2 linked regions of the Canis lupus familiaris genome follow. The protein of the gene in region 1 interacts with the protein of each later gene in a pairwise test. Links are inferred from orthologs where the notes say so. Each region holds a gene or a part of one and is shown on either strand. Other genes may lie near its edges.

What was found.
Region 2: the proteins of JUNB (region 1) and BATF interact in binary tests that used the Homo sapiens proteins (3 or more experiments, as listed by UniProt). The link is inferred for Canis lupus familiaris from reciprocal best matches to the Homo sapiens genes JUNB and BATF.

Annotation. Positions count from the first base shown.
Region 1 is NC_049241.1:49,756,906-49,760,712, reverse strand, and holds JUNB (transcription factor jun-B), read left to right. Parts: upstream 1-1,467; 5' UTR 1,468-1,763; coding exon 1,764-2,807; 3' UTR 2,808-3,304; downstream 3,305-3,807. UniProt on the Homo sapiens protein: Transcription factor involved in regulating gene activity following the primary growth factor response. Binds to the DNA sequence 5'-TGA[GC]TCA-3'.
Region 2 is NC_049229.1:48,851,498-48,855,631, forward strand, and holds the start of BATF (basic leucine zipper transcriptional factor ATF-like), read left to right. Parts: upstream 1-1,271; 5' UTR 1,272-1,517; coding exon 1,518-1,580; intron 1,581-3,895; coding exon 3,896-4,000; intron 4,001-4,134. UniProt on the Homo sapiens protein: AP-1 family transcription factor that controls the differentiation of lineage-specific cells in the immune system: specifically mediates the differentiation of T-helper 17 cells (Th17), follicular T-helper cells (TfH), CD8(+) dendritic cells and class-switch recombination (CSR) in B-cells.

The DNA.
Region 1 (3,807 bases):
GCCCCCAGTTCTGCCCGCGGACTCCGGCCTGTTGCCATGGCGACCAAGCCCGCTCCCGGGCGCGTCCCCCTCCGTCGGGCTAATGGAATCGTCCCCGGACCGCCTGCCTCCGCGGTCGCCTGCGGGTGCTGCGGGCTGAACCATTGCTGGGAGAGGGAGACTAGAGGCCTATGCGGCTGGGCGTGTTCTGCGCACCCTGGCCTCCGCCAGGGTCGCACGTCCACGTTCCTCTTCTGAGGCGCAGAACCCAACCGGACCCAGGGCGGGGCGCACGGTCCCGTAGGATCCGAGTGACGGAGGCAGGGCCGGGCTCCTTCCCCCGGGGCTGTTGCCACACTTCCTGCCGCGGCGCTCTTTCCCCAGCCTGTTTCTAAGGAAGGAGTGGGGTTGGGCGACCGCGCCCGGGCCGTCGGGGTAGGTTCAGCACCCTGAGTCGGCACGGTGTCGGTCAAGCCCCGGGTCACGGGGGGAGGGCTTGGAGATGGGAGCAAAGTATACTGGCGCCTAGAAAGCACCCACAAGAAGGGGTGGCCAGTCATGGAAGATCCAGCAGTCCAAATCCCCAGGATCCTCAAAAACCCCTCCTCTCATGTCTCAGCTGGAGACCCTGTGTCATTATCATCTCGGCTCTGAAAGTGTGTCCGGACTCTTAACTCTCCTTCATCAGGGCTTTGCAGATGACCCCAGTGACTCCCAACCTCTGACAGGGTCCCCCCCCCCATAATTTCCCAGACTCGGTATACCCCGGAGCCCTCACTTTCTACATAACTAGATTCCCCTTATGGAGGCCCTCAGTCTCTCCCATGGACTTCAGGACCCCTACTCATTTTTTGCATAATGGATCCTCCATCCCCTCCTTTTGCCCTTTTGATCCCCCCCTCACTTTTCCTGGGTTCAGTCCCTCTATTAAAATTCAAGTCCTTTAACCCCTCTGTACTCAGGACCCCCACACATTACCTTACCCCTCTCTCATTTACTCTGGTTGATCCTCCTGTCTCACCTTTGTGGGGTCTCCCTGTGTATATAATCAGCCCTTCAACCCCCCTCGAATACTCCGAGTCCCTCAGGCCTTTTGTGTACACCCTGGAGACCACCCCCGCCCTCCGCCCCAACACGCACACGCGCACGCACGCACACACACACACACACACACACACTTGCTTTGTAACAGTTCCTCGCATCCAGGGGAATCAGTGCCTTCCCTGGAGTCCCTCCCCGTGTATCTCGGACCAGCACCCCTTCCTTCGCGCACCCCGGGGTCCCCTGAGCCCCTCCCCCTGCAGCCGCGCCGAGCCACCCAGCCCGTGGCCGCTGTTTACAAGGACACGCGCTTCCTGACAGTGACGCGAGCCGCCTCCTCCCCTTCCCCACGCTGGAGGAGGGGGGCGCGGGGGCCCGGCTCGCGCGACGGCCAATCGGAGCGCACTTCCGTAGCTGACAATAGCCGTATAAAGGCGTGTGGCTCAGCCTGAGCTGCCGGGACCTTGAGCGCGGCCAGGCCAGCACCGGAGTCAGCAGGGAGCGGGGAGCAGGGGGAAGCGACACCAGGAAAGCGAGCGCGCCGGACAGGGGCCGAAGGGCTCGAGAAGCCGCACGGAGCTTCCGCGCACCGCCGCCGGCTGGCCTCTCCCGGCCGGTGCCAGCTCCTGGGAACGCGCGTCCAGATACCCAGTCCAGCCACCGTCGCGGACAGGGCGCCGCTCGCCGCAGCGAGGCCCGGGGCGGCCCCGCAGGGACCCCCCCAGACCGCCTGGGCCGCCCGGATGTGCACTAAAATGGAACAGCCCTTCTACCACGACGACTCATACGCAGCGGCGGGATACGGCCGGGCTCCGGGCGGCCTTTCTCTACACGACTACAAACTCCTGAAACCCAGCCTGGCGCTCAACCTGGCCGACCCCTACCGAAGTCTCAAAGCCCCCGGGGCGCGGGGCCCGGGACCAGAGGGCAGCGGTGGCAGCAGCTACTTTTCCGGCCAGGGTTCGGACACAGGCGCGTCGCTCAAGCTTGCCTCATCGGAGCTGGAGCGCCTGATCGTCCCCAACAGCAACGGAGTGATCACGACGACACCCACGCCCCCGGGACAGTACTTTTACCCCCGCGGGGGAGGCAGCGGCGGAGGTGCGGGGGGCGCCGGGGGCGGTGTCACCGAGGAGCAGGAGGGCTTCGCAGACGGCTTTGTCAAAGCGCTGGACGACCTGCACAAGATGAACCACGTGACGCCCCCCAACGTGTCCCTGGGCGCCAGCTCGGGGCCCCCGGCTGGGCCCGGGGGCGTCTACGCCGGCCCGGAGCCACCTCCAGTCTACACCAACCTCAACAGCTATTCCCCAGCCTCTGCGCCCTCTGGAGGCGCCGGGGCCGCCGTCGGGACTGGGAGCTCGTACCCGACGGCCACCATCAGCTACCTCCCACACGCGCCACCCTTCGCTGGCGGCCACCCGGCGCAACTGGGCCTGGGCCGAGGAGCCTCCACCTTCAAGGAGGAACCGCAGACCGTGCCTGAGGCGCGCAGCCGCGACGCCACGCCACCGGTGTCCCCCATCAATATGGAAGACCAGGAGCGCATCAAAGTGGAGCGCAAGAGGCTGCGGAACCGGCTGGCGGCCACCAAGTGCCGGAAGCGGAAGCTGGAGCGCATCGCGCGCCTGGAGGACAAGGTGAAGACACTCAAGGCCGAGAACGCGGGGCTGTCGAGCACTGCTGGGCTCCTCCGGGAGCAGGTGGCCCAGCTCAAACAGAAGGTCATGACCCACGTCAGCAACGGCTGCCAGCTGCTGCTCGGGGTCAAGGGACACGCCTTCTGAACGCCCCCCCATACGGACATTCCCCCAGTCTGGACGACTGGGCGCACGCCTCCCAAGGGGCGAGGGGGCAGGCGGTGGGCACCGGCCCCCGGGGCACCGCAAACCACACTGGACTCCTGCCCGCCCGCTCTGCGTCCAGTCCTTCCACTTCGACGTTTACAAGCCCCCCTTTCGCGTTTTTTTGTATGTTTTTTTTTTTTCTGCTGGAAACAGACTCGATTCATATTGAATATAATATATTTGTGTATTTAACAGGGAGGGGAGGAGGGGGCGATCGCGGCGGAGCTGGCCCCGCCGCCCGGTACTCAAGCCCGCGGGGACACTGGGGAAGGGACCCCCGCCCCCTGCCCTCCCCCCTCTGCATCGTACTGTGGATAAGAAACACGCACTCGGTCCCTAAAGAGTTTATTTTAAGATGTGTTTGTGTGTGTGTGTGTTTGTTGTTCCGACTTTTTATTGAATCTATTTAAGTAAAAAAAAAAATGGTTCTTTATTAATTTGTTGTCTTTTTTTCCAAGCCGGGCGGGAGGAGGGAGGAGAATAGTGGGCTGCCCCCACCCCACTCCTGCTTGTGACTCGCGCCAGTGTCCGTGTCCTCCTCGCCAGCTCTACCTAAGCATCTTGCAGCCCTAGTGCGGGCGGCGGACCCTTCTCTGGCCCCCTCCTCCCCGGGGTTGGAAGGGCCAGGGCGGGTACGCGGTCCAGCCGCCCATCACCAGGGGGCAGGAGGCCTGGGGCGAGACGCGCAGTGCGCGGGCGCAGCCCCGCCCAGCTGCGCGCGCTGGGGCTTTCCCCGCTGACGCAGCGGAAGCGCTGCCCCTACATGGGCCGATTCTGTCCAGTGACGCGCCGGCGGTCTCCGGGCAGATTCCGGGAATCCCCTCCCCCGCTCTGCCGGGCAGGGCTGCGGCGCCGGGAAGGGGGCCGGGATTTTCCCAGGCAGGCGGCTGCCGGGGCCCGGAAAGCCCCAGGCCTGGGTCCAGAGCGTCCGCGGTGGGAG
Region 2 (4,134 bases), on another chromosome or scaffold:
TGACAAGGGATATTTAAAAATACTTAGAGATGAACAAAAACTACAATACAAGAAAACTTATGGGATATATACAACGGAATATCACTTTGTTTATTGTCTGCCTCTTCCGCTCGAATATAACTTCCAGTAGGAAAGGAATTTTGTTTTGCTCAATATATCCTATGGGACAATATTGCCTTCAGACAGAAATTCCCACCAGTGGATACAAAATCCTTTAGGGGCCATGCTTCCTAGCTTTCCTAAGACTAAGCAAGGCAAGCATTTGGCTTTGAGCCATACTGGGAATAAAGCAAAGGCTTTTTTTTTTAAAGCCAAAATGCCCCCGTGAGGTTGGATTGCTTACTGAGAACTCCACAAATGTGCTCATGGCAAGGCTAATAGCACAAGTAACACCTGTCTTCACAGCATATTTTACCGCCTACTAGGGGCGTTCTAATCCACGCTTACCCACTTGCTTCTGGAAACAGCCCAAGAAGTGGGCAGGGAGGATTTTATTGCGCTCCATTTACAGGTGGAGGTAGAGGGGCGTAGAGCTCAGGTGAGCTACCCAAGGCCACCGGCGTTCTGGAAAGTCAGAATGCAAGTCCCCGGTACAGTGCTCATTTCACTGTTTCTTACGGTTCCTCCATTCTGGGCTTTGACCCGGTGACGCACTTGAATCATGAAGATTCGAAGCCCATCCTGAGCTCCTGAAAGACCCTGGACGAGAGAAGCAGCCCTTCCCCAAAGACAGCACGCTGCTGAGGGGCCGAGGTGACGGGCAGATGTTGGGAACACGCACGGCAGAGCCTGTCGCCGGCCTTCAGGTCTCTCCGGGCCTCTTCTGCCGGGTAGTCGGGCAAGGACCAGGCCCACCACGGGGCAGGTTGGGCGGCTGCTTTGGGGTAAAAAAAACAAAACACACACACACACACACACACACACAAACAACAGAAAGAAATCCCAATCTCATTGCTTTATTTTGGTTCAAAAATCAAGTCGGCTGATAATGGAAACTCTTTCCCTCTGCCCTCCGGCCCGTGTTGACGGGAGGCGGCCTTGCTAATTCGGGCTGGGGTTTTTCCCTGCCCGGGCTGTTTTTCTCTTTTATCTTCATCAATTGAAGAGAGCTGTGCTGCCTTTCAAACAGTCGGAAGGTATCTGGGGTTTTGTGTATTTTTTTTTCTTCCTTTCATATAATTCTGCGGGTCTTTTCCCAGATATGTATTTTCTCTCAAATTAACTTCTAACTTGTTTAAGTTTCCGCCCATGTGACTTCCAGTGTGAGTTACCAGAAACCACAAGAGAGAGAGCGCGCGCACGAGCCCCAAAGCGAGCGACATGTCCCTGTGGGGAGCAGTGCCTCTGCACCCCAGAGTGAGGAGGACGCAGGGGCCAGAGGCGGCGGCGCGGGCACAGGAGCCACCTGCGCAGGGGGCTGGGCCGCTGGCCTGGGAGCCGGCAGCCAGGGACGCCCGCTGGTGACCCAGAGCCCAGGGGCGCCTGGGGCGGTGCGGGGAGCCCGGAAGACTGCAGCCATGCCTCACAGCTCCGACAGCAGCGACTCCAGCTTCAGCCGCTCTCCTCCCCCTGGCAAACAGGTAGAGCCCCTTCCCCTGCAGCCCACCTTCTCCCTCTCTGGGGAGGGACGGGGGTGGGGGCGTCGGAGGGCCAGGCTCCCTCGGCCTGTCCAGGGGCCCAGCGAGCGAGGAAGTGGCTGGTGGCAGGAGCAGCCTGTCACGCTGGCGACCTGGTCCTTGCAATGAAGCGGCCGGGACCCTGGCCCTGCACCTGTTCTACCCAGGACCCTTTACCTCTCTGCTCCCGCTGCCTGCCTCCCCCGGGTCCCCACCCCACCGAGCTTTCTAGGAAGCCCGGAGGAGAATGTGCACCAAAGAGCCCTGGTCTCTCAAAGGAGGAGGTCCCCCTTGCTCCGAGGCAGTAGGAACGGGAGAGGCACAGCATCACAGGGCTGGGCCGGCCTGTGCCTTCGGGGGAGGGGGCCATCAGGGCAAGAGAGGGAAGCGTCAGGGAAAAGGAAAGGAGAAAAAAAAAAAAAGCAAGTTAGAGGAGGAAGCCAGGCAAGCCTAGAAGAATCTCTCTTATCTACTGGGGCACTGCCCCTGCTGCTAGCACAGCCAGCAGAGACGGATGCCGGAGCTGCCACCAAGCCTCTTCCGCCCGTGGCTTCTGGACCAGAGGAAAGAATCAGGAGAGGGCGTTGGAGCTTCCTGGAGACACTCACTAGAAGCTTGGCTCGGCTCGGGGGGGAAACCACAGTGATGGAGGTAGAGAGTCTGGGAGTGTTTGGAATCTAGATTGTGACTTCCAAGTCCAAAGTTTTCAGCTTGAGGCTTGCCAAGAAATAGGGCACCCTGCCTTCCCCCAAAGCTTCTGGAGCTTTGTCTTCTCCGCATTTCTTGGCATTCCTCTCCAGAGAAAGGCTTCTTCATTCTCACCCAATACCTCAAAGGATTAAAACTTCTTCTCCAACTTTGTGGTTTAAAAGCCACATTCTTTCCTTAGCACAGTTATCCAAGAGGGCTTCCAAGATGCTGCAGCTGAAATAAGAGTATATAAACGTCTAATACAGCATCTGTCATAAATGTTGCACAGAGGAGCAGCAGGTTGGAAGGAGTTATAGTGGAGACCTCTAGAGGGCAACCAGTCCAGGCCTCTGCTCCAGATGGTATCACGATGGGTCAGGCTGCCTGGAAGTCTGTACTCTTCTTAGGAAGGAAATTACTCATGGCTTCCATGGTAACCTGGTTCCCCATGCCGCTTAGAGCAAAGCACTTCCTTCCCATCTAACACCATGCCCTCCTGCTGCAATGGCCTGGAAGTGCTGGGCACGCTGCTGAGACTTATGCTTGGTGAGCACAGTCTTGCCCGGGAAATAGTGTCCCTGTCTCCTGTGTGGGTGTGAGAGGGAACAGGGCAGGAGCTGCAGAAGGGTCTTACTCAAACTCCTATACTTATCCTGCAGTATCTAGGGGAATGCTGGAGCTAACCTCTCTGCCCAAGCAGAGGACATGTCCGTCTGTGGGATATACTTAGAGGACACCCGGAGGTCCTCCTGTGCTAAGCACCCATTCAGTACCTGCCACAGCCAGGTAATCTCCACCATTAAAGCTGTTCTTGGCTACTGGTTTCTATTAGGCATTGTGCTCAGGACCATAGGGAAGGTCAACATCACTGAGCATAATGAAGGGAATGTAAGGAGAAAAGAATGCGGGAGAAAAGATCTGGGATGGGGACCTCAGCCCAGGTATGTGGTGGAAGACATGTGGGTACAAACCAGTGAGGGGCGGGGAGTGGCTTGGAAAGGCATCAGACTTAGCATCAGAAGACACAAGGCCCCAGATTACCTAGGCTCCTCGGCAAGCCCTTTGAGCCTCACTCAGTCTCCTCACGTATAAGATAGAAACAATAATATCAACTTCACAGAACTGAGGAATTAAACCAGAGCAACTCTGAAAAAGCACTTGCGCAGAAGTTGGCATATTGTAGGTCCTCGGCAAAGTTTTGGAAAAAAAAAAAAAAAGGCAAGAAAATGCTAGTCCAAAAAAAAAAAAAAAGAGAGTAAGGGTGGAGCAGCCCTGAAGAGGAGAGGTGATGAACACACTTCATCGCCTTGACCATTTTTTTCCAAATACAGCCCTATCGAGGCCCCAGGGTCTTTTTCCTCTTCCTGTAGCTTTTGGCCAAAACAGCTATAGGGACCTAAGGGAGCGTAACAGAGTGTGGGGAAGAGTTCTCTTGCAGGCTCAGCATTTTGGTAAGCAGGGGGTGAAGGGGCAAATGAAAAGATGAAGAAACGGAAGGATGCACAGACGGATACCAAACAGCATGAGAACCTGCTTTAATCCAAAAGAGAGAACACACTCACCTAATTCCCATCGTTTCTGCTTCCCAGGACTCCTCCGATGATGTGAGAAAAGTTCAGAGAAGGGAGAAAAATCGCATTGCTGCCCAGAAGAGCCGACAGAGGCAGACGCAGAAAGCTGACACCCTGCACTTGGTGAGTGTTCAGACATTTTTTCAACCTCTTGAGCTATAGGCTCCCTACCACCCAGAGATGCTTGGACCATAGCTTTGAGGCTGCCTGCATATGAATGTGTGTGTTGAGGGGGGGGCTGTTAAGTGGGGGGAAGA